Linked DNA regions of Arabidopsis thaliana. The protein of the gene in region 2 interacts with the protein of the main gene of each other region in a pairwise test. Each region holds a gene or a part of one and is shown on either strand. Other genes may lie near its edges.

Region 1 (12,530 bases), on a different chromosome or scaffold from region 2:
AGAAACAATCTCACCATTTATCAATAGAGTTTCCTTCGCTACTGTCCATTCCTCTCCCGGTATCAAAGACTGTAATATGGTCACCAGATATATCCACACTGCAATAATCACATGAGGTGAAGGGTTACACTCAATCTTGGTCATTTAACCTCCTATCATAAAAACAAACCTAATCAGTTTTCGAGCTCCTTCACGATAAGGCCACACAGCTTGCAAGGAATTGTCCTGTGAATCAAGCAACAGAAAAATTAGGATTCCATATCAGGAATAAACGAGAAATAATCTCAAAATTAGTTACTAATCGAGAGTAAGTGAATCCACTTGCGAAAAATTGTCGTTTAATGTGAAACGCATGGTATTTACTTCAGAAATCAAACAAGCAAATACAACAATGTGAATCCGCGAAAGCTGCCTCAAACAAACATAAATTTTGCATTAGGCATTCTATCTTTGCAGGTAATTTTACTGAAACACTTACTATTAGATCCGCGAGAGCTGTCTCAAAGCTATAATTTTCTGGTAGCTCTTTAAGTAGGTCAGTATCCGGTGTCAAATCCCACAAGTTCTGCAAAAAACAATTGTAAACCATCATCACAGACCAACTTAAGGAGACAATGAGATAATAAGCGTATATGTTTCAGAAGAATAATACTGACCTCATACATGGTGGAAGCTATACCAGAACCGTCCTGACCCATACATAGAAATTGAGGCAGAAAATATCAGAAATAAGAAGATGGAACAAAAAGAGACAAAGACTTGAACAAAGAAAGAACAACTCACATCAAGACGTATTATGTGGCACAAGTCAGGCTTAAACGCAGCAAAGCGAACAATGCCTTTCATCTTCCCACCATTTGACTCCAGATGAAACTTTCCGCCTGAGTTCCAATCAACCTTCATCCTCTTAGACATCAAAAGACAATCTTTTCGTGCATTATCATACTCCTTCTTCACCAAGTTGACAAAAGACTGCATCGAGATCTCCGGTTCTGGGTTTTTCAGTGTGAGTTTCACACTAGTGCCATTAGGTAGAAGGACCTTGAAGTTGTAGAATATATCCTCATCGTCATCATCATCAAGAACCAATGATCTCTTCACTGATCGCCTGCTGCTCATCTGAAATGCAAAGACAGAAACAACCATGAAACTGATTAACTTTTTTGAATTACAAATTAGGCACGATAAGGATTACAGTGGAAGCTAAACATGGAAATTATTGATTCCTAAGAACTCTAATTGAATTAGTCTCACAGCTATTGAATGGTTTTAGATCATTATTGATGATTTACTATAACGAACCTACAACAATTACAAGAAAGACTGCTGCATCAAAAGTACAAACTGTTTCTTCCTTGCCTCTAAACGATTGAAAATCAAAAGGACTGTGTAAGGCATTCACAGATTTAAGCTATGAATATCATATCAATCTAGTACTTGTTCTACACTTCTACTAAACATACACGCATGTACACAGAATTTTGCATATAACATGAAAATGTAACAGGCCAAATCGTGAAGAAAAGCTACAACTTTATCAATAACAAACGCATAGGCTTCTTAAAAAAAAAGCAGCAATTTAAGTAAAGAGAGTCTCGAAATGGAAGAAGATACAGACGATATAGTAAGTAACTCGCATTTAGATACACTGCAATGATATGGAAGAAGACAGGACAGGAATAAAAATTGGGTATTTGCAAAACAGAGACTTTATTCCAACCTAAGACAAACGAATACTTAGGGTTTAAGTTGCTAATCAATTCCACATCAAGCTTCGATTTTCAGTAAAGTAAAACCCACCAACAACAACACAGAGAATCAGAGAGAGAGAGAGTATATATACCTTAGCTTCGTCGACTGATTTCTCTCCCAAAAAACCCAGGAGACAAAATCTGACAGAAGAATAAGACTGAATCAGAACGAAGAAGAGAAAATAAACACAATATTAAAACCAAGTTCACTTTTTTTCTTTTGGGAAGCTGTAGACGAGAAAAGTTTAGATTTTTTTTGTTTTTAAATCATAGTAATACGAAAATCAGAAAGAACACTTAAAAAGCAGAACACATTTCTCTGAGATCAACGAAAAAAAACGAAACCAGGAAAAAAAAGTCGACCTTTTTAAGAAAAAAAATTTATCTGAAATCCTTATTAAGAAGAAACAATAGGAGTGATTTTTTACCTTTAGAGTGACTCTCTGTTTCTAAAACCCAGAAGGAAAAAAAAAAAAAGAATCTTTGTTTGGAAGAAACGACAGAGAAACAGGAAGAAGAAAGAGTAGAGAAGAGGAAGAGACAGTGTGTACTCTGTGAGAGAGAGTAAAATGTGTAATGGGTGTGAAAGCTTCGGGCGCACGCACTTCCTTTATCACACGTCAGCTTAATACTTTCTTCTTTTTATTTGTCGTCACATCAAATTACCCAAAACATTGTATTTACATTTATATCTTTAGCATTTAATTACATTATATTTTGAGTAAAAATTGGGAGTATGATCTTATTTTGTTGACTTGATATATATGTGGACTGTATTTATTGATCAAAAGATATCTTTATCTTTTATTTTTTTACTAAAAATAAATAAATTTCATTTTTTAATGAATCAAACGATTTAACTAACTGGTTAAATATATAAAAAGTTGTTGTATATGGCTAACAATATAACATGTCAAAATCTCTCCTCAATTACAATTATACAAATCTTATATACCTATGGAGCTTGACATTGTTATACACATAGTTTGAATGGTGACGAAACCATATCTTTGTTACTATTTAAATTTTACTGTATCTTATCCGCAGTTAAACCGCATCATTCCGATTATTTCATTCGGAAAGAGATAAGACATCATTAAAGAAAAACCTCAAAACACATTTATTCTATGAAAGCATTAGTTTTGATTTTTTACTAGAAAAGATACAGAGATTTAGTAAGTAATTAGAACAGAAATTATACAACGTTGGTCAGACCGGTTCTTAGTCCCACTGTATATTAAAAGGAAGTAAACCGGCACTCCTCGGGTTTAATTCCATAACATGGTGAAGTTATACTGATCTGGTCTAAACCAACCAAACTGAGCTTCTCGATATACTCTCCCATAATATCTCCGACAACGTATGAGATTCCGCAAGAAGCAACAACAATAGACGTATAATAAGCCGCAGATTTGAGATAAGCTTTAGTCGATCCACATGAATTGGTTGGTTTTCGGACATAGACCTTGATCGAACCGAGCAAAATTACGCAAACCAGAGAACCCAAGAAAACCGAGATGAGCTTGTAGTTCTTGATTCCGGTTTCGTAGAAGGAAAATGCGTAAACTAACGGAGGAATTAGGCCGAAGAAAATGTAAGACATGACCGCTACTAAGATATGTATCCGGGATTTAGTACGTCTCCCTAACAATTCCTCGTACCTATCTTTCTCTTGATCTGAACTGTTTCTTAGATCTTGAAACTGCAATAAAAAAAAACCCGAACCGGTTAAAATAAGAAACCCCATAGGCAATCTGTGGCACGAGAAAACGTTTTTTGGTTCAAGTAATTACGTTTTGAGCGAGGACGATGAGCCCACCGGCCAAATTTGCGACAGCAAGAGCCAATATATTCACTGAAACAACAACAAAAAATAATAGACGAAATTATTATATAGTGTTACTATTTATAACAAGGACCAATCTGATGATTAGATAGCCGATAAACTAATCTCGCATTTGTTTGCTAACTAAAAGGAAAATGGAGTCTAGAGACTTACTGGTGGAGGAACCAGAGGCAGAAGCAGATGATACAACGCCGAGGCTGGTGATGGTCTCAGTGAGACCGCCGTAGACGGTGCTCTTTAACAACTCAATGGCGAATCTTTCTCCGTCCGGTTGAATTTGTGGTGGTGATTGTGTGGTGTTTATACTCTTCCTCACATCTATATATTCTTCAACTGCATATAGTTTGCAAATTTTCTTTGGGTACAAAATATATGTAGTTCTATCGAATATTCAAATACCAAAGATAAGCCTATAAACATTTTTTATGATCAAAGAAACCGTTGTTGATTTTTTCCCAAATTGAAATCAATTTGTCTAGTCCGGTTTAGGTGAGAGGAGTAATATTTTTGTTTCAATTCACGATAACATACCTGATTTCTCAACCGGTTTTCCCCTGATATAATCAAGTTGTAAGAACTTTGTTCCTGAAATTTAAAATATAAAACCAGGGTTGATCCATCAAGTTTACAAAACCAAGAAAACCTGGAAAGAATTGACTCAGAACCGGTTTAATTAAGGTTTGATTTACCTAACCGGATGAAGTACTTTAGATCACAAACCAAGCAAGTAAAGATAGTTCCCTCTTTATCTTCTTGATCATCCTCAATCCGAGTCTCAGGGACATAAACCTTAACTGGTGATTCCATCTCCTCAATGTCGCTTGGTTCGTCCGGTTCAACAACCGGTATATCGGGTTTCAGATCCAGAGATGAATTAACGTGCTTCCCTCGTTTTCTTTTCTTGAGAACCACATTTCTGGTGATACATGTGCTACAGCTAGGACAGTAAAGCTCGTAGTTTTCTTGTGTCGCAAGCAAATTCTCTAGGTTTGACTTCTCTTCTGAATCTGACGATGATCTCTCGTTCTTTTCTTCATCCTCATTTCCAAGCTCATAGTTTTCTTGTGTCCCAAGCAACTTCTCTAGGTTTGACTTCTCTTCTGAATCCGATAATGATCTCTCGTTATTTTCTTCTTCCTCTTCTATCTCACAATCTTCTCCATTCCGTTGCCTTTTGTTCTCTACATTTGGCAAGTTTGTGGAGCTCGACTCTAACCAATTATTACCATTTTCTTCGTTTGAACCGGTTTCAGATTCTTCGTTTGAACCGGTTTCGCTCACAGTACTCTCAAGTACTATTGGATCTGAATCGGAAAATAGCGATGATGTACTTTCACTAACAGAATTGTTACCTACGATGGCAATTAATACCAAAAATAAACGAGAGATTGATCTACCGGTTAAGCAGGTTTGTGTCCGGTTAAAAATTAGGATCCTAACCAATTAGTAGAGGTACCAAAAATTAAAAGACAAAAAAACATGTAAGAAACTGACAAGTTGACTAATGTACCTTGAGCTTGAGATCCATCATTATCCTCTTCCAACTCTATCTCGGTGGTGTTGACCGGCGCCGGAGCCGTCGCTGCCGCCTTGGATCGAAATTCTCGGGCGGGAACATTATCTTTACCAAATCTATAGCTCTCAAGAAGATCAACCAAAAATTCAGCATCAACGATTTCTTTATCTCCGTCCTTCAATTCGGACAAGGTTACATGAACTGGTTGGTTTGACTTTTCCATATCAATCCCTATGTAATGAATCTGATTCCAATGTTCTTTAAAGTGATTATGAGTTAATGAAGGAGATATTATGATTTGTGAGTCTCTCTCTCTCTTTTCTTCTTTTTTCTTTTTTAAATTTAAAAAAAAAACACAGTTGTTCCTAATTATCGTGTCCAATCATATGATCTTTTATATATATACATAAATAATACCCACGAGGGAAGCACGAGGGGTTAAATATTCGTAACGAGGATTACTTTTGGATTTTGGTAATTAGGGAAGGTGTCATAGTTAATTAGCACTCTATTTAAACATGTTAATATATGTCAGTTTCAAAACAAAAAAAAAAAATTGTGTGGTATAGTATATGTCTTCTTTTTGTCATCAGTATATGTCATGAAATTGATCCATAAGGTTTTAGAAAAATGATTTTAAATGATTAAAAAATATTAGAAGTAATACGAAAGGTGCAATATTGATTAAATAAATACAAACTGTGATAGTATGATACCACGTAAAATAAATTACTACAGAAAATGAATATCACATGATAAAAATACTAGTAGTCAACTCTTTAATAACTCATAATGACGAGGAAAGTGGGAAACGTTACAGTTAGTTGGAAACAACGAACCATATTCAAAACGTGTATAGTTAATGACTTCTTATTTATTATGAAGCCCATTAGACATTTGTTTCTTGGGCCTATATATTTCATTCACAATAATCGGCCCATAAAATTAACCAAAAGCCCAATCCAAGTAAATCACCATAAAGCTGGAACACATAAACTGGAGCCCACTAATTTACACGTGGCACAATATGAGGCTCCAATTTCGGCAAGAAGTGTGTGATCTTTTTTTTACTCGTTCTTGATCTTCGCGCTTTTCTGATAGATCCTCTTGGGACAATAAAACCATTAAAATATCGGAGAGTAAATTTTATAAAACCAAAGGCAAAAATTGCATAGATCAGAAAATATTTGTTGCAACTATTGAAATTATTTTTGTTGGTTCGAAATTTTTACATATTTATGTTGGTTATGACTCTTATGGAAATGATAATGTGTTTTAAGGAATAAAATTAAAATTGATTCTGTTTCATACTAAAATATCAAACAAAAAAAAAAAATTTGTTTTGGCAAAGAATAAAGGTTTTAGTGTACTCTTTCTCTGTGGTTAACTTTAAAGTTTTGGAAGCATGTCGGCGAAGCTGGAAGGAGATTCTTTACGTAGTAGATAGGCCACAGGTGGTTTCAATCTTCCCCAACAACCAGACGAAATCAAACATAAATCTGTAACAGTCGAAGAAACTCTCACTCTTTAATTGATCAATGGCGTCTCTTCAAATCAGTGGCTCCGTTAAATTCGAGCCGTTCGTTGGATTCAACCGGATCCGCCATTTCCGTCCGATCGCCAGTCTCGGATTTCCTCGTTTTCGACGGAGATTCAGTATCGGACGGTCATTGTTGCTTCGTCGTTCTTCTTCCTTCTCCGGTGACTCTCGTGAGTCTGATGAAGAGAGATTTATCACAGACGCAGAGAGAGATGGTTCTGGCTCCGTTCTTGGCTTTCAGCTCACTCCTCCTGGTAAATGTCGTTAAACTCGTGATTGAGTTCTTCATAGTGTTTCTTCCAATTTCCTCAACGAACAGTGATTTATTCTCTGATTTGTGCATAATCTAGGGATTTTGTGATGGTTTATCGAATGTGATTTCAATTTGTAAAAAGTGAATGATTCTCTTGAATTTTGCTTGTGGTCCTCAGATTCAAAGCTATTACGTTTTTCAAATTTCAGAATCTTTCATATTCAAAAAATTCTGATATAAAGTAGCACGATTTTGCTCAGAATCTCGAAGATGAACTCGATTTTTCCTTGTACAGGTGATCAACAAACAGTTAGCACTAGCACAGGAGAAATTACACATCATGAAGAGAAGAAAGAGGCTATTGATCAAATTGTAATGGCTGACTTTGGCGTACCTGGAAATAGAGCTGTTGAAGAAGGAGCTGCAGAGGTTGGGATTCCGAGTGGAAAAGCTGAAGTTGTCAATAACCTTGTTTTCGTTACATCCGAGGCGGCTCCTTACTCGAAAACAGGAGGATTAGGAGATGTTTGTGGTTCTTTGCCGATAGCTTTAGCTGGTCGTGGGCATCGTGTTATGGTCATTTCTCCTCGGTACTTAAATGGAACTGCTGCAGACAAGAACTATGCCCGGGCTAAGGATTTGGGGATACGTGTAACAGTAAATTGCTTTGGTGGTTCTCAAGAAGTTTCCTTCTATCATGAGTATAGAGATGGTGTTGATTGGGTAACCACTAATCTCTTCTAGCATAAATTATTGTGGAGTTTTGACAAACGCCATTGCTTAACATTTTGTGTTGTTTTTGTAAACTGTCTTTAGGTTTTTGTTGATCACAAATCCTACCATAGACCTGGTAATCCCTACGGAGATAGTAAAGGAGCCTTTGGTGACAATCAGGTACTACTGTTGACATTGTCCAAAGAAAGACTTTGGTTTATAATTATAACTTTCTTTTATTGTGTAAATGTTATGTTTTAAGTCATGTGGTCTACTTAAAACAACAAAAGTGCGTCGTCTCACACATTTTCTGATTACAGTTTCGGTTCACGTTACTTTGCCATGCTGCATGTGAAGCCCCTCTCGTGCTGCCTCTTGGAGGGTTCACTTATGGAGAGAAATCACTCTTCCTTGTCAATGACTGGCATGCCGGCCTTGTTCCCATGTAACCTTTTCTTGATCTCTTTACCTTATACTCTAGGCTTTATCTTTTAACGGATGTGCAGAATCCTGCTTTGATTTGTGGACATTGAAACTTATATCGTGTATCTTCTTTTATTCCAGACTTTTGGCCGCAAAGTATCGCCCATATGGAGTTTATAAGGATGCAAGAAGCATTCTCATTATCCATAACCTCGCTCATCAGGTAAATTCATAAACATTTTTCCAGACCTGTATATGTAATATCTCTTCTTCTGGTTTTTATATAGTTGTAAGTTTCGTATAATGCCCCATAGTTAGCTTACTGTGATTAGTTAGTTATGTATGTTGTGTTTGATTAAGTTGAAAGGTTATTTTTCTATTTCATAAATTGGCTCTTTTCCTAAAAGGGGGTGGAGCCAGCAGCTACATACACCAACTTGGGATTGCCTTCGGAATGGTATGGAGCAGTCGGGTGGGTATTTCCAACGTGGGCAAGAACTCATGCCCTTGACACCGGTGAAGCGGTTAATGTTCTCAAGGGTGCTATTGTGACCTCTGACCGTATCATTACTGTGAGCCAGGTGATGAATCTTTTGTAAACATAATCCCTGATATTAATGACCACATTCACTTACGGTAATGATTCTGACATTGTGTGGGTTGGTATTCTGATTGGGATTTGTTTTCTGTATTTTCAGGGCTATGCATGGGAAATCACTACTGTTGAAGGTGGTTATGGTCTTCAAGATTTGCTTTCTAGTCGGAAAAGTGTTATAAATGGTACTTGTTTCTATAAACCCCGACTTTTATAATCTTTCACTTAAAACATCTTTCTGAGCTGATATTCCGGTGATGTTTACAGGGATCACAAATGGAATTAATGTTGATGAATGGAATCCATCCACGGATGAACACATTCCTTTCCATTACTCTGCTGATGATGTCTCCGAGAAGGTGATGTGAAGTTCTCTTGAGTAAAAGTGCCAAAATCCGATGCTTTGTTATGGTGGAATTCACTTTTTGTATCTGCTTTGGGAATCGCAGATCAAATGCAAGATGGCACTACAAAAGGAATTGGGTCTCCCCATTAGGCCTGAATGTCCTATGGTGATATTTCAAAGCCACTTTTATTTTTATAAGAAATGTTCTATTTTGTCTTATAATCACTCATGTAGCTTGAATGTTTTAATACTTTTTACAGATTGGTTTTATAGGAAGACTTGATTACCAGAAGGGCATTGATCTGATCCAAACCGCTGGTCCTGATCTCATGGTGGATGACATTCAATTCGTAAGTGAGTCTATTGAACGGTTTAACTGGAACACATGCAGTACCAGTGACATGTGTGATACACATTTCTCATCTCCTGTATTTAGTAGCTGTTTTCGCACATTTCTTAAATCTGAGGCAGAATTGGAAAATTTTACTGGAATCTGTAGTGGTTTTCCGCATTCTAATATTCCTTTTTCAGTCAAAGAGAGTTGTTTCTTTTTATGAGATATCTTTGTTGATATGATTTAATGTGGTTTGGTTGCTTGCAGGTCATGCTTGGTTCGGGTGACCCAAAATATGAAAGCTGGATGAGAAGTATGGAGGAAACATACAGAGACAAATTCCGTGGTTGGGTTGGGTTCAATGTCCCCATCTCTCATCGAATCACAGCCGGGTAAAAACAAATCATTCTAGCTTAGACTTTCAAAAATTCCAGAAGACATGATAAAATCAATAGAGAATCTTTGCTTTGTCCAGGGAGATCTATTCTATGGATTATCATATGATTCATATAAAGGAACTGTTGTAGAAAACCTTCACAGTGCCACAAATATCTCATTGGATTGTTTTTGTTTGTTTGTCTTGAAAACTATCGATAAACAGCTGTGACATTCTTCTCATGCCGTCGAGATTCGAGCCCTGTGGTTTAAATCAGCTATACGCAATGAGATACGGAACCATTCCAGTTGTTCATGGCACTGGAGGACTCAGAGTGAGTTTCTTTAAATCTTCAAGAACCCGGATAAATACAATCAAATTGTTTTGAATAGTTTGGTACTAAAAGGGTAATGATTTATAACTGGATCATGATTGTTTTCAGGATACGGTTGAGAATTTCAACCCTTATGCAGAAGGTGGAGCTGGTACTGGTACAGGGTAATAAACAAATCTGTTTTTGAGAAAGGAAAAAAATCATCAAATTCAAATGATTTGTGTTGTTATGAATCGTTCTTTTGTGGGTTTAATGTTTCAGGTGGGTCTTCACTCCCTTGTCGAAAGATAGCATGGTCTCGGTAAGTTTATCTAACTCCCCATTTCTCAAGAGGATTTGTGGTTTATGGTTTTTGTGGGTATATGACCTTGTTGTGTTACATACATCTCAGGCCTTGAGGTTGGCTGCAGCAACGTACAGAGAGTATAAACAGTCATGGGAAGGATTGATGAGAAGAGGAATGACCCGAAACTACTCTTGGGAAAACGCTGCCGTTCAGTATGAGCAAGTTTTTCAGTGGGTTTTCATGGACCCTCCCTATGTCAGCTAGACCAAACATAAACTGAACCAAACCGAGTTGGACCGGATCAGACCAGACCTGACCAATCAGATGGAGAGTGTGGAACCTCCTTTTCCGGCTATCGAAAATCTATGGTTTTCAACGTTTCCACATTAAACCGTGTATCTATCTATGTCTATTATCTTAAACTCGTATGGTGTTTGTTTTGGGGAGGTATAGAATTTTAGTTATGAGGTTATAATATGTTTTTCTTTCGGTTATGACATGTGTGTCTTACTCTTTTCCTAATTATCTGAATCTGAACTAGATTTCTTTTGATAAGACATTATACGAGTAGACTAATATGACTTAAGTTTATAAAAAACCAAACACTTCTCTAGAAAATATTCCTAAAAGGGACAATTGATCAGAAAACTACTACTTAAATCCAAATACTCTTATAAATGTAAAATCAAAAATAAACACCATGTACTAGTATTTGGGACTAAAACACGAAAAGAACGAATTTTTAGGTTGAAAAATCTTATCTATCTTCCTCATTATTTTAGCCTTATCGATTCTTTCTCCCTTCACGGTTAGTAAGTTGCTTCGTTCACAAAATGTCACAGAACTAACTCCTAACAAAAAAATATATATACACGATTGTTTAAAATTTTCTCAATAACAAATAGTTTATTTTGGCTCAACATAACCATTAGATTGTGATAACGTACCTGGAAGAAGATAGACATAATTTAGAGCTTTTTGCCTCGCAATTTCATCAGTTGATCGAAACTTGAATGTAAATTCCTCCTACAAATAATTACAATTAAATTAAAGTTTTAATGAATTCAGTCTAGAAGCAATACAAGTTTCTGAATTTGTGAAATTATATATATATTTGTTTAGCAGATCACATCCTAAAATAACTAACCATTTTAAAAAAACTTAAAAAGTTCAGAATTACAGTAGAGATGATTAAAACAATGTGACTGCAAGTTTCCAACCTACTGGCTGGGTTATAAATAATATTTACTTATAATGGATTCTTAATATACATAGTTTTGATATGTTTATGTAGTTTAACGACAATGCGACACATATTAATATTATAATTTAACTTCTTACATATGTTTGAAATCAGTAAAACCAAAACATGTCTTAAAAAAAAAAAGAGATATATATATATATAAAAGGTTACCAAGAACATAAAGAGAAAATAAAATATAAGAAATTTAATAGTAAGTACGGAACCCTATATAAAAATAATGAAGGAAGTCTCTTTAGCGATGACGCATCAATATCTCTTGATTAATTAATTTTATTCTCTTCATAGAAAAATAAATACTAAGATAATACAGTTTTACAAGGATAACACATCATTATCTCTTAGTTAATTAATTTTATTTCTCTTGATAAATAAATAAATAAATACCAAAATAATAAAGTTTAAAAATTCCTTTCATCTTTTATATATTGGATTTGATAGCCATTATGAGAAAAGTACCAATCAGAAATGGTGAATTAATAAGTTAATAATGATGATTTCATTTCATACCAGAATTGGTGGGCTTAATTCCTTAAAAACAAATAATTTGATCAAGATTAATGATAGATGTGAATGAGTAGGAGAGCAGTAACACACAAATGAATGAAACGTGAAATATAATTAAGTCCATTAGACGTGCTTACCATATTCATATGAATCATACAAACTAATCTGTCATCGATAAAAAGAATAAATAATTATTCTCTTTTTGTTTATTTTTATAATAATGTTTAGTTGAAATGAAAACGTTATCGTTAGAGCCACGCACGATCCTAAATTCTCTACTATAAGAATATGTATGAATACTATATTTGTAGTTCACATTCGCTTTCCTAAGGTTTACCAACCAGTTTACACTGAAAATGTGTACATGACAAATTGACAATGATTGTTTCGTTTTGTTTACGCTGTTTTTTTTTATTATTGAAATTCAGGAGGTTCTAGGCCGAAAACG
Region 2 (12,530 bases):
AATTCAAAAAAATTAAAAGCACTTCAAAATACACAAAGTTATAAACAACTACATATCATATCAATAATGCGGTTATTTAACCTTCTTTTTTTCCGACCATTTTGACTTGAGTGTTTGAATGTTTTCTGAAGTCATAACATCGGTGTTACAAGTAATCTATCTCTGCACAAATGAGTATAACTTCAATTATTATCAAAAACTTATGGTATTAATTACTCTACATATATAGTAGATATTTGTATTTAGAATCTCATATAACAATCATGGTACGTTAAAAAATATGATATTAGTAATACTATTTAATTTAAGAATCTCATGTTAAAATCTTTGAGCATGTGATGTAAACTGTTACCAAACTACATATTTGTAGGTCATCATAATTAATACAACCAAGACTTCTAGAGCCCATCAAGCTCAGCAATATAGAATATTTTGTTGGTATTATTTTTGGTCTCTAGCATAACATATCATTTTCTTTTTGGATAAATCAATATCTAGTTTTAATTATATTTTAGAATCCTATAAATTAAAACCGACATAGCGAATCATATGATAAGAACGAATTAGAAAAAGAAAAAATGAACTAAGACGTAGGGACCGGAGGGTAGATGTAGATCACAAGCAATAGGTGATACTACTATTTCCAGTTAACTGAGTGTGAAGAAGGTAACTTTCTCTATAAATATGTACACGTGAAAAGGTACAAAAAAGACTTTACGATGAAAAAGTATTGTGGCTAAAAATATATCAAAAGCAAAATGTTAGCATATTTCTAGAGAAGTTGCTGTTAATGCTAGAACATAACGATGGTCCAAAACTAATAATTATAGAATATAAATAGTAAGGCAGAGCGCAAGTATCCGAAAAATCATGCTAGTTAATTAAGACTATGATATATCGGCAAGGCTACTAGAATGTGAAATTTAATTTAATGATTCACACAACCATATTATCTTATCTCCCAACCACTATCTAACATAATTATGTTTCTTCTATAAACATGTACAAACAAAAAATATATAAATATCTTCAAATGCTTTAGGGTTTATCCGTCTTATATTGCTTTTCATCTTTTAAATGAATATCATACTACATTAATTTGTAGATAGTTGCAATATTTATAATTTTTCTTTTACAGGCTGCCAAAAAAAAAATAGTGGATTAAAATATCTTAAGTGATTTTGTTAAATTAGAAGAAATGTTTGCGATGCATGCTCAAATAATATTTTAATCCGTAGGAAAAGATTATAAAACGAGCAATTTTGATATACATAAAACAACGATATTATAGATGCTATACTATGTCTATAGTATTCACAAGATAGACCATGTACTATCGTAGTTGAATTCATATATAGTAATAACTCGACAGCGAGAAATTCGAGTAATGACCAACTAACTAGTTCCATGTATAATGAAGACCAACGAAACCAAAAAATAAATTGAAGGCATTTGTGTTTTGAATTCGACTTGATAAGCATTCATTATTGTTTTTGAAATTAATTTGATCATTTATTAGTGGGTCCAATATTACTCACAGACTTAATAGGTCAAGATTTTGATCCTATCGCGTGGTAGATAATTTAGAGTGAGATGGTTAGTGACTTACTCTATTACATTTACAGCCAATTGTTTCATATACTAAAAATCAAAATGTTCGGTCTTAATTTTATTTAGTTTTACCGGTAATGTGGGTGTTAAAGAATTAATAGGCCGAACCAGTCGTGACAAATGGTGCATGGCCTAATAAGCTATCTTCAAGTTTAGATATGTGGTCGAAACAGAGCTGTACCTATATCTATTTTTAAGGTACGTACATTAATCAACTTTTTAAAAAAATCTATATCTTTTCATTTGACCTAAGTTTACGATTTTCTTATATAACAATTTTTTAGGGTTTTTTCTCGAATTAGTAAAGCAAACAATTATTGAAACAACAGCTAATAATATTATGTCTTTTTAAAAAAAAAAAATGTCTTCTCAACTCAATATCTCAAATCAGCTCCATCGCTTGAATAGGCTCTTTCAAGTTTCAAGTTTCAACTTGACCTTTTCTTCTTTCTCATTGAGTGGGCTCTCAGCTCTAGGCCTCTCGTTCAACCTCCTGAGTTCAAATTAGTTCTTTGTTGTTGGGCTATATTGCCTTCGATAATTGTGGGCTTTCTGGTAACAAATAGGTATGGTGGTGGGTAACTCCTACTAGCAACGTACCAGCATTTTAATTTCGGTAATAGCCAAATTTTACAAATTTATACGCAAAGTTATCTTAATTGTCTGGAGATGGCACACAAGAGATGGGCATTGGATCATGCCGCAAGCGATTAACTGTAAATAGTTCGACGTAAGAAAAAAGAAGATTTACAGGCATAAGAGAAAGCAAACGCACCGAGAAAACATCCAGCAATTTGCAAACAGCAAAAGAGGTGATAGTTCAAAAAAAAAAAATCATATCAATCATTTTTACTTATCTATTGTGTCACATATTATTAAATTTTGTAGACATTTTTCAAACTTTTTTTTACGACTATAGTTTTTAAGGCTTCTCTCAGTCGAATGGAAATTGTCTCAAAATACATAAATCATATTCTTTTGGAAAAACATTTCGAGGTCACGTCTAATAAGATAATAAACATCAAAAGACACGATAAATCAAGCTATGACTTACACGATTGTCGAGATCATACATATCTCTCAAAATATTTTGTGGCCATAATTCTGTAAGTCTTCTCAGTCGGATGGAAACTATCCCAAAACACATATTCATCTCTATTTGGACATACATCAGCTGCAAAGTTGTTGCATAAAAGAGCAACTTCAATTAGTCCAGTTCCACAACATCCTTTATCAACCACCTTAAATCCTGTTACATTAATGAATGACATACAATTTCAATAACTTTTTGATAAAATGGAAATTTTAATTTGAAAATTAATTGTTTATATTAATACGAACGACGATTACCATATTGTCGAGGGTCAAGAATGATATCAAGGAGAGAATCATATATGTCAACGTAGATTATTGTCTTGTCTCCTAAAGTTCTTGACAAAGAACCCAAATTTGCAGCGAGCTTAACATTGTAGAGCTTTGTTGCATCATTGAACCTAACAACACAATTTCTTGTTGGCCCTCCTGCTAAGGTTCTCTGTGATGGGACACATCCTACTGGTGGTGCACCGAATACTTGTATTCTCCTCGCTCCATATTCATGTAATTTCTGTGAATACCACATCATTCAAAAGGTTTAGAAAGATAAAAAGGGTAAAGGTAATCAAAGCAAAATATTAAAATTTCTACGTCAATAATAAACTCTTACGACAAACGTGAGCATTAAATTTGATACTATATAAATAAGGAGATAGTTCATTAATTATTTTCATACGTACTTGAGCAAAAGATCGAGCATTGTCGGCCATAAGAGTGGTAAAGGAAGCGACGTCGTATTGTTGTTGAACAGAAGGAAGACCAAAGTAGGTGTTGGTTATATCATTACTGCCACATATAACCATGAACAAACTGTTTTTAATTATGAGCTTTGTCCTTTCTTCCCCAACCATTTTCTTCATCTTCTCTACATACTCTTCGAATAACTTCAGTTGCTGCGATAAAGCTATTCCTCCCTTTAAGAACAACAATGGTTTATATATAAAAAGGTACGTCTAATTACAGCTTAGAAGTAATCATATTTTGTTTTATAGATAGTGTAAGATTTAGAAGTTTGATTACCGATAATTGGGTTGTGAAGGGAACGTAACCAGCACCACCAGACGCAAATGTTACACCGGTTAAGAGATCTTCTGGTTTCAAATTTGGATTTCGATATGCCGGTATACTTGGTTTAATTCCGAATTTTCCCGCTATGATTTGCAAGAGAAAATAACTATTACCAGTTATATAAATTTATATCATTTGTCCTTAATTTCTTTGATGTTTCGCTTTTGAGTTTTTATATCTCAAGAAAATGACACATATTGAAAACTTGGAAAAAAAAGAAAGATCATTTGTGTAAAATATAATAATTTTTTTTTGTGATGGTACCATTTTCTGGAGTTTTTTTGTGTACCATACGTATATCTTTAGTCAATAATGTAAATTACATACATATTAACAGTTTTAACACTAGTCAGTCACTTAGATATTATTCAGCACTACGTACGATACAATAAATGACTTTTATATAAGTTTTTTGTTTTGTTTTTTTATTGATAAAAGGTTTTCTATAGATTTTTTGTCTCTTTTCAGTTTACAGGCTTGAGAAGTTTTCAGAGTGTTCACAAAACACAAATGCAACTAAAAGTGTGTGTTTAGTTGTTATCTATTGGGGAAATTCTCGAAATATAATCAAAATTACATCTGAGAAAGCAACGTGAAATTTACCTATAAAATCAGTCGCAACTTTGCCGTTGCAAAATCTTCCGGTAGGAATTCCACCGTCAAAATCGATGCCGTAAGGAGGATAATTGCATCTAGCCAACGTTGTCATAATGTCGTCATTATTTCCGGCATCAACGATTGAATCTCCGAACACAATTATCGCCGGAGTCGTTTCGTTTGGCGGCTGCTTCACCAAAGCGTTGGTGGACGTCTTACATAACAACACGAGAAAGAAAACACACCAAAACGGACTCGAAGAAAAAGAAGTAACGTGATGAATATTTATACTGTTTCGTTTCATTGTTACTCTTTGTTTCTTTGGAAGCTTTTGGAATGATGAGTAAATATATATATGTAGAGCTTGGATCGACATGTGAAAATTTAACATATGAGGACTTTTTATTCAAAATGGCCAATAGTCAAGTCTAGAACATTTAATAACGAACTAGCTAGGTTAGCATCGTAAACCCTTTTTCTTCAACTAAAATAAATTTTGGGCATAGTGAAATTACTATATTTGTCAAAAAAAAAAACAAAAAAAAAAGAAATTACTATATTTGTCAATAAGTTGTCGAAGAAAAACATTAATTGGCTAATTGCTTTCGGGCCTGCGTCATCAGATTTAACTGGGCCTTATACATAATTTGTTTTTGTCAACCTTGGGCCTTATGCTTAATTACCACCTCTCTTTTTTTATTAAAGATATTTATTATGTAATTGTTTATTTGTTTTTGCCTCTCTTTTTGATTTCCTTTTTTTTTTTCATATGTGCAGTGCCAGTAAGGCTAAGCTCCATCAGGACTGTGACAAGTGATTTTGAGGGTTATAATCAATCTTTCTCGTTGAAAATGGAAAAAGAACAAAAATTGCCTTTGTGAAAAGAAAAAAAAGCATATAAAAGTATAACCTTGTATATATATAACCATCAAATATCATAAGAGACCATTACAAGCCTTGAAAAAGAGAAAATTGACAGAAGTGTAATTCTCTCTTTGAGTTGAAATGATTATTTAAAAGTGTATGGAACATGCTAAGAAATAGGAGCTATATCGATTAGAAGAATCTGTTGAGGTATCTATCCAAAAGCTTTGCAACTATAATTCTGTAAGCTTTTTCAGTAGGATGAAAACTGTCCCAAAACACATAATCAGATCTTATGGGACATACAGAAGCTGTATAGTTGTTGCATAGCGCAGTAACTTCTATTAATCCGGTTCCGCAACATCCTTTATTGGCCACCTTAAATCCTATAAGATTCATAATAAAGATATATACACTTTTAATCTTTTATTATAAAAACAGATTTGGGATGTTAAAAATATGTTGAAAATAAAGTAATAATGATTGATTACCATATTGATGAGGGTTTAAAATGAGATCAAGAAGAGGACTATAGATGTCAATATAGATTATTGTTGGGTCTTGTAGAGTCCTTGACAAGACATCAATATTTGCAGAGAGCTTAGTATTGAAAAGTTTTGCTGCATCATTAAACCTAGCAACACAATCTCTTGTAGGTCCTCCTGCTACGGTTCTCTGCGAAGGAACACATCCTATTGGTGGTGCACCAAATACAAGTATTCTTCTTGCTCCATATCCATAGAGTGTCTGCCACCACATAAATAAAAACAAGTTTTAATAAAGACAACATTTTACTAACCTTATTCGTGACATTAGTTATTGCCTTATTACCAACCTTACAAGTTACAATTGTAAATTGTCTTTACCTGAGCAAAAGAACGAGCATTGTCGGCCATAAGAGCGGTGAAAGAAGCGACGGTGTAGTGTAGCCGGACCGGGGGGAGAGTAAAGAAGTCGTTGGCGATATCGTTACTACCACATATAACAACGAACAAGCTATTCTTGATTATGAACTTTGTCCTCTTTTCTCCAACCATTTGCTTCAATTTCTCTATATATTCCTCAAAATATATCAATTGCTGTGGTAAAGGTATTCCTCCCTTTAACAAGATAAACAGAAATTGTTGTTATTTTAACATAACTTCTTTAGATAAAGTTAAATTATGCATAGGTACTCAAAATTAACTACCGCTATTTTGGTTGTCAAAGGAACATAACCAGCACCACCAGAAGCAAATGTTACACCGGTTAAGAGCTCTTCTGGTTTTAAATTCGGATTTCGATATGCCGGTATATTGGGTTTAATCCCTAGCTCTTCCGCTGTAAAAACAAATGAGTTATGAAAATTATAATATAATTATTAGATCACTTCTGATATTCTTCTTTTTTTGTTTTGTTTAAGTGTTTTACTATTTTTGAATTATTATAAAGTGGCAACTTTGTGTGCTTAACTTTATTGTACACCATTTTATAGAGCAAGAAAATCAAACTAGTCACGGACTGCAAATCATTAATCAAGTTCATGCATTCGATAGATATAGCTATCCAATAAAAAGAATGCAAGGTGTAAGACTACAATGAAAATTTTAATGAAAATAAAATTACAGGCAAACTAACCTACAATATCACCAGGGACTTTGCCATTAGAGAATCTTCCCGTAGCAACTCCACCGTCAAAATCAATGCCGTAGGGAGCATAATCGCATCTAGCTTCTGTTATCATGTCGTCGTTATTCCCGGCATCGACAATTGAATCACCGAACACTATTACCGCCGGAACGGTCGTGTTTTTCGGGATTTTCACTAAAGCATTTGTAGTACTTGTCGTAGATAACAGCACGAGAACGAAAATACACCAAAATAGTATCAACGAAGAAGAGAGATAATAAGAAATGATGCGATGATGACCAGAACGACATCGTTCCATAGTTGCTAATTACTATGACGTATCGAATTCGAGGTAATGTGTTTGTGTGTTAAAACTTAAAACAAAACACAAAAAATATTGCTTCTTTAAAAGCTTGGAACGATGGATGTAAATAGTCCTCCTCTCGTTTCCTACGTAGATATTTATATATCCATATATGTCTACGTGATTTGTATGGTTTAGTTGTTGTCATTAATTGAAGACATTGACATTTTTTTTGTCTACATGTTATTTTAATATCTAAGTACGTGTTATGGTTAGAGGATCACACTTTTTGATAATTAACAATGTACTTTTGGAAACAAATGCCAAAAATCCCTATAAACTTTGTTTCACACTTATCTGTTTGATTGAAATATGAATAAAGAATTAATCCTCCTAGGTTTTTCAATATCCAACATAATTATGCATAGCCTTTTCTTAAAGAAACACAAAGGTTTAATGGGACGTATATTAGTGTCCACCCACTAATTTAAGTCTAAACTAGTATATAAGTATGTATTTATATTTGAAAATCGATCATAAATGTATGTAATGTATATGATTGTCCTTCATTCAGTCAATTGTAATTTAAGATTATAGTAATATATATGATTGTGCTAATAACCAGAAGAGAAAAAATGATTGTTCATTCAATCACATGGACTTTGATTAAGAAATTAGTATATAATATTATCTAGTAAAATAGAAAAAATGAATCATCATAAAATGTAAAGTTGTTACGGATTGGCAATAAAAGCAAAGGATAACTAACTTCACGTACTGACTGTTTTAGTTTATTTCACTTCCACATTGGAGTGAAATTGAGAGAAGCAGATGCTGTCACCTTTTTAAAACATTTCACCAATTGCTTTTTAAGAAACTGAGACTGAATTTTAAAATACTGACACTTCCAGTTTTTGTACAAGTATTTCCTATATTTGGTTGTTACAGAGCCAATTAAGTCTTGTAGATCGTACAATTGCTCATACGACTAAAAATATATATACACAGGTCTTATGAATTGTAGTTTTATACCAAAAGATGTGTTTGTTACATTATATACTATTACCAACGTATACTAATGTTTTAGATTTTTTTCTTACAAACTAATGTAGTAATGTTTATTAGTTTCTATATATAATGATAGAGTAGATACTATTACTAATCTATCAACTATTCCCCAAATAATTGTCGACGTCCCCACGTGGTTATGCTCTTTCAAACTCTATCAATGTCTTCCCGATATAGGTGTTAACATCGGTATTAAATGAGATAGGACCCATAATGCCACAATCTGTTCACCGGTGTAGCAGTAAATGCAATTTGAGTTTAAGAAAACACATTATGAAATAAAGACTTCAAAATTCGAGAAAATGAACACGTAAAGTTTCCATATATATATCTTCTCAAAACAGCTATAGAGCCTAGAGATATATAATCATATAAAAGCCTAAACATTTAATTAAAGTACCCGTGATAGCTATCGGTACCGGTTTAAGGACTTCTTTTCTTTTTCGTTCTTTTCTTTTCCATATACAAATTGGTAGTTTGAACTCAGAAGAACGTGTAGTGATAAGTCAAAAGTTAATTAAGCAGTTGCAATGCTCGATCGTATTCATGAGTCACATTGTTTTTCATCCATATTATTTGCAACAGAAAAATCCATAATACTGTCTTTTAAAATATGAAGTATTAAGATTTTCAAAAAACATTTCAATAGCTTATTTTGATAAATAAAGCGGTTGTAAATTTACATTATACGGTTTCCAACCGTCTTGTTTAAGGTCCTAACCGCTTTTTCAATTACGTTACTATGCTATCTAATTAAAGCTAGTACTTTTTTTTTCTAGCAATATTAATCAAACAAGCTAAGCATAGTCCTGTATAATTTTTTTTTTATAAGAATGTAAATATTCATTCTCCTGTTTAGGCATAGTCCTGATTAATTGAATGCCGAGAAATTCTAATTTTTTAAGCTATGGTCCGAAATAAAATCCGAAATGATTATTAAGGTACAACTTGTAAACGAACAAAATAATACTTTTTAAAAATGAGGTAATGAACAAAGGAAATGATTCGCACTAGCAGTACGAAGGTAAATTGGCTCCAATCCTATATTCAAATCCTAGTATAAACGATCATATGGTAAAATATGTTTAACAAAATACGGCGATTAATCTAAGTGATAATATAACAATGACATTCACACAAATCACTTATTTTCATATACTAGTCAATAAACTATATGAAAAAACAGAAATTAAGAGAATAGTATTAAATGATACAATCACATCCACGACGATACAACAATTAACAGGTGCGCATTAATTCATGTCTCTTTCTCATTAGATCAGACATATACCGAATTTTGTTCTGTTCCTTAATTAAGAGATCAACTATGCGTAGTTGCGTACTCATCTTCGCGACCTGATTTTTTATGTCGTGCATAGGGACTTTACTTTACAACGAACCTATACGGTGGTTTTAGTTCGAATACTAAACATTGCAGCACACAGTTAATGTTTTTGCAAGACGTGACTAAGTTTTTATCCACCTGTCCACATGTGTTTCGCCTTGTATGATCGTATCCACCCTAAAACCGGCACCAGAAAACTGATTTCGTAGGGAATTTGAAAAAATTGGTCGTTTGCGCGCTCCTTTGTTTCCTTACCTTTGCAACAACTAACCATATTGTCCATTAATCTTAGACAATCATTATAAGTTTTAACTAATGCAACATTTGTTATTATAATTATACTAATTCTTGATTTATAATCATTAAATTATATGGATTGAAACGAGAAAAAGTTGCTAGTCCCTATATATGGATCAGTTCATATCCTTTTAAATGTTTGTACCAAACCACTAAAAGAAAATTAGTCGTCAACATTTTCACGTATACTAAACATAAAGAAAAGAAAATGTGTCGGTTTTTCATTTCGAATCCTAAATTTTTTCCCGTGTGTGTATGTCCAATTAGAAAATTCATTACAGCTTATCTACAAACATACAAATCATATCATTACCTATGTGCCACTAAGAAGTCTTCATATGAACTTATGTCTAACTATAAAAACTGAAATTTTTATCATCTTCATTAATTGTGGAAAATTAGCAACAATTTATCATTGCGATAGCTTTTAAATATTAGGCTTTCAACCCCATCATAATATGTATTAGGTTGCATTACCAAATTGTTAAATAATCTTGAAAAAGAAAAATAAAACGTAGCATGGTTTACATTATTCATGTTCAAAAATAAAGTGCGCATGTAACAAATATATATATAGGCACTAAAACATATAACCGAATGATATTATCAAACATTTTCCCTCTCCCCTTTATAAACTCAGATGTCTAGGAAGTGGGTACAATGATAAACCACACCGAGTTACATCATGATGATGTCATCTTCACACACACACATGCTTAAAAAACGTCACAACCTCAAATCCCGACTCATTCTTTCAAAGACGGCGTCGTTTGCACAAACGGGTTCTTGCTGTGTCTACAACATCGTCACCATTATCACCAGTAGACGACTCAGCCTTCTCTGCCATTTCCCTCACCCCCAGTCGTCTCGTCGCCCTTTCTCTCTTTTTCATTTCAATAAGTCTCCCCGCAAGGTCTCTACACAAGTCCGTTTTCTCATTCGTCATCTTCCTCCAAAATTCTGCTTCTGCTAACGCTTTTCTCGTACGAATCTCCATTTCTCCACATTGTTTCTTCATATCTTCGATGACTTTGTCTTTTACCCTCACACAAAAGATGGCTCTCTCCTCGAGACTTCTTAATTGACCATACAATTCTCTTGTCATCTGGTTCTGCACATGCATGAATATTAACTATAAATATATGTTGATGAAAAACATAAAAATATCATCGTAATATATAAGAACAGATCAAAACCTGTAACATATGGTTAATGTCTTTTGCTTGTTGATGATATGGAGCAATCAAGCCTAGAGGAATTGCGGGATTCTGTGGGAGTGGGGCATTTGCATTAACTGGTGTTACACTCAGAGACAACTTCGTTTGGGTTTCTTGCATCTTTGATAGACCAAAAGAAGAAGAGAGAGTCTCTTTTACAAATGTAGATGCAAAGAAATGTGTGTGACGAAGAGATTATAATACCCTAATCATCGACGTTGCTAGTGTATTGAACTTATAGGGAAAATCAGAAATGTATGAAACATAGAGACGCGAATGTTCAGATACAACAAACGCGTTTGTAAGAAACTGATGAGATACAACTTCCAAAACCAAGGCATCGTTTCGACGAGAACGGGCCTTTTAGTGTTTCGGATACATGTGGGCTTTTAAGAGGAATTCTAATGCCCAATAACCAAAATTAGGCCTATGTTTCCATCTTGTACTTATTAGAGAAAAAAGTCAAGGGGTGAAAAGGTCTTTTAGAAAAACCGTATCAAATATCGGAGACTCGGACCGAGCCAGTAGTCGTCTATGTAATTTACTAATATACCCTCCACGATATTTGATTAGTGTTTTCCTTTTCTCTAATGTGAACTTACGAAAACACCTTCAATGTGACCGACTTTCCCGAGTCGGTGGATCTCAACTCTCAAGCGTCTATAAATATGGACCTTACCCTTCACTTTTTTTTTTATTCACCACACGCGCTTAGCTATCTTCTCCCCCTCACTGTCTGCTCTAGGTCGAGATTTTTTAGGGTTTATCTCCGGATTTGGGTTAGCGAAATCGAGCTCACGGGGTTGTCTCGATTATTCCTTTTTAGGTTGCTTGAATCTGAAGCTAATCTTGGGTTAATTGGATTGTTAGAATCGAGACCTAAATCCTTCGATTGGATCAGAGAAAATATGTCGCGCGTTCTCACTTGCCCACCGCTTGTGTTTGCAAGAAACCACGTTGGCGTTCAAAACTTGGTCGAATCGACTAAGGTTCGTTGAGCTACAGATCTGGTTTCTTGCTTCAGTTTTTTTTGTGTGATTGATTTCTACGGATTTCGTAAAACCTGATTTTGGATTCGTTTTTGGGGAAACTTATTTCAATGTAGTAATCTTTGAATTTGGGTTACACTTCTTGTGGGTATGGCTATATTTTCATAAGTCGTATTTTTTTCTCTCTGAAACCCTATCATGTATAAATCTATATAAGCTAATTATCATGTGATTATCATTAACACTATATAAAGAGTTGCATATTAGTTTTCAATAATCTCATCATGTGTTCACTGTATCAGCAATCATTAGGAGTGAATCAGGTAAGTTGCATTGTTTTCCATTCTGTTAGTTTGATTTTGTAGGTCTAGATATGTATATGATTAAGTTTGTAGGAGCTTCTTTGTTTATTGTAATGGTTTTTGCACATTGAGTGGGATGGTTGAACTGTGGTTCTGAAAGACGTG

What was found.
Region 1: the proteins of AT1G75880 (region 2) and MEB2 interact in a two-hybrid assay, tested with the Arabidopsis thaliana proteins (one large-scale study listed by BioGRID).

Annotation. Positions count from the first base shown.
Region 1 is NC_003076.8:8,260,283-8,272,812, forward strand, and holds MEB2 (Vacuolar iron transporter (VIT) family protein), read right to left. Parts: upstream 5,467-12,530; 5' UTR 5,337-5,466; coding exon 5,108-5,336; intron 4,950-5,107; coding exon 4,287-4,949; intron 4,183-4,286; coding exon 4,129-4,182; intron 3,931-4,128; coding exon 3,751-3,930; intron 3,607-3,750; coding exon 3,545-3,606; intron 3,454-3,544; coding exon 2,989-3,453; 3' UTR 2,850-2,988; downstream 1-2,849. Other genes in the region: GMI1 (gamma-irradiation and mitomycin c induced 1), read right to left, coding at 15-98, 170-225, 479-565, 657-689, 784-1,119; SS1 (Glycogen/starch synthases, ADP-glucose type), read left to right, coding at 6,652-6,907, 7,202-7,629, 7,723-7,800, 7,941-8,065, 8,185-8,266, 8,451-8,624, 8,742-8,823, 8,906-8,997 and 7 more. UniProt on the Arabidopsis thaliana protein: May sequester excess cytosolic iron and manganese into endoplasmic reticulum to reduce metal ion toxicity. Not essential for the accumulation of ER body components, including PYK10.
Region 2 is NC_003070.9:28,485,196-28,497,725, reverse strand, and holds AT1G75880 (SGNH hydrolase-type esterase superfamily protein), read right to left. Parts: upstream 7,278-12,530; 5' UTR 7,163-7,277; coding exon 6,853-7,162; intron 6,556-6,852; coding exon 6,422-6,555; intron 6,336-6,421; coding exon 6,102-6,335; intron 5,983-6,101; coding exon 5,727-5,982; intron 5,622-5,726; coding exon 5,428-5,621; 3' UTR 5,262-5,427; downstream 1-5,261. Other genes in the region: AT1G75890 (GDSL-like Lipase/Acylhydrolase superfamily protein), read right to left, coding at 2,679-2,860, 2,962-3,217, 3,387-3,620, 3,727-3,857, 4,378-4,762; AT1G75870 (uncharacterized protein), read right to left, coding at 10,612-10,968, 11,054-11,194; AT1G75860 (DNA ligase), read left to right, coding at 11,743-12,063.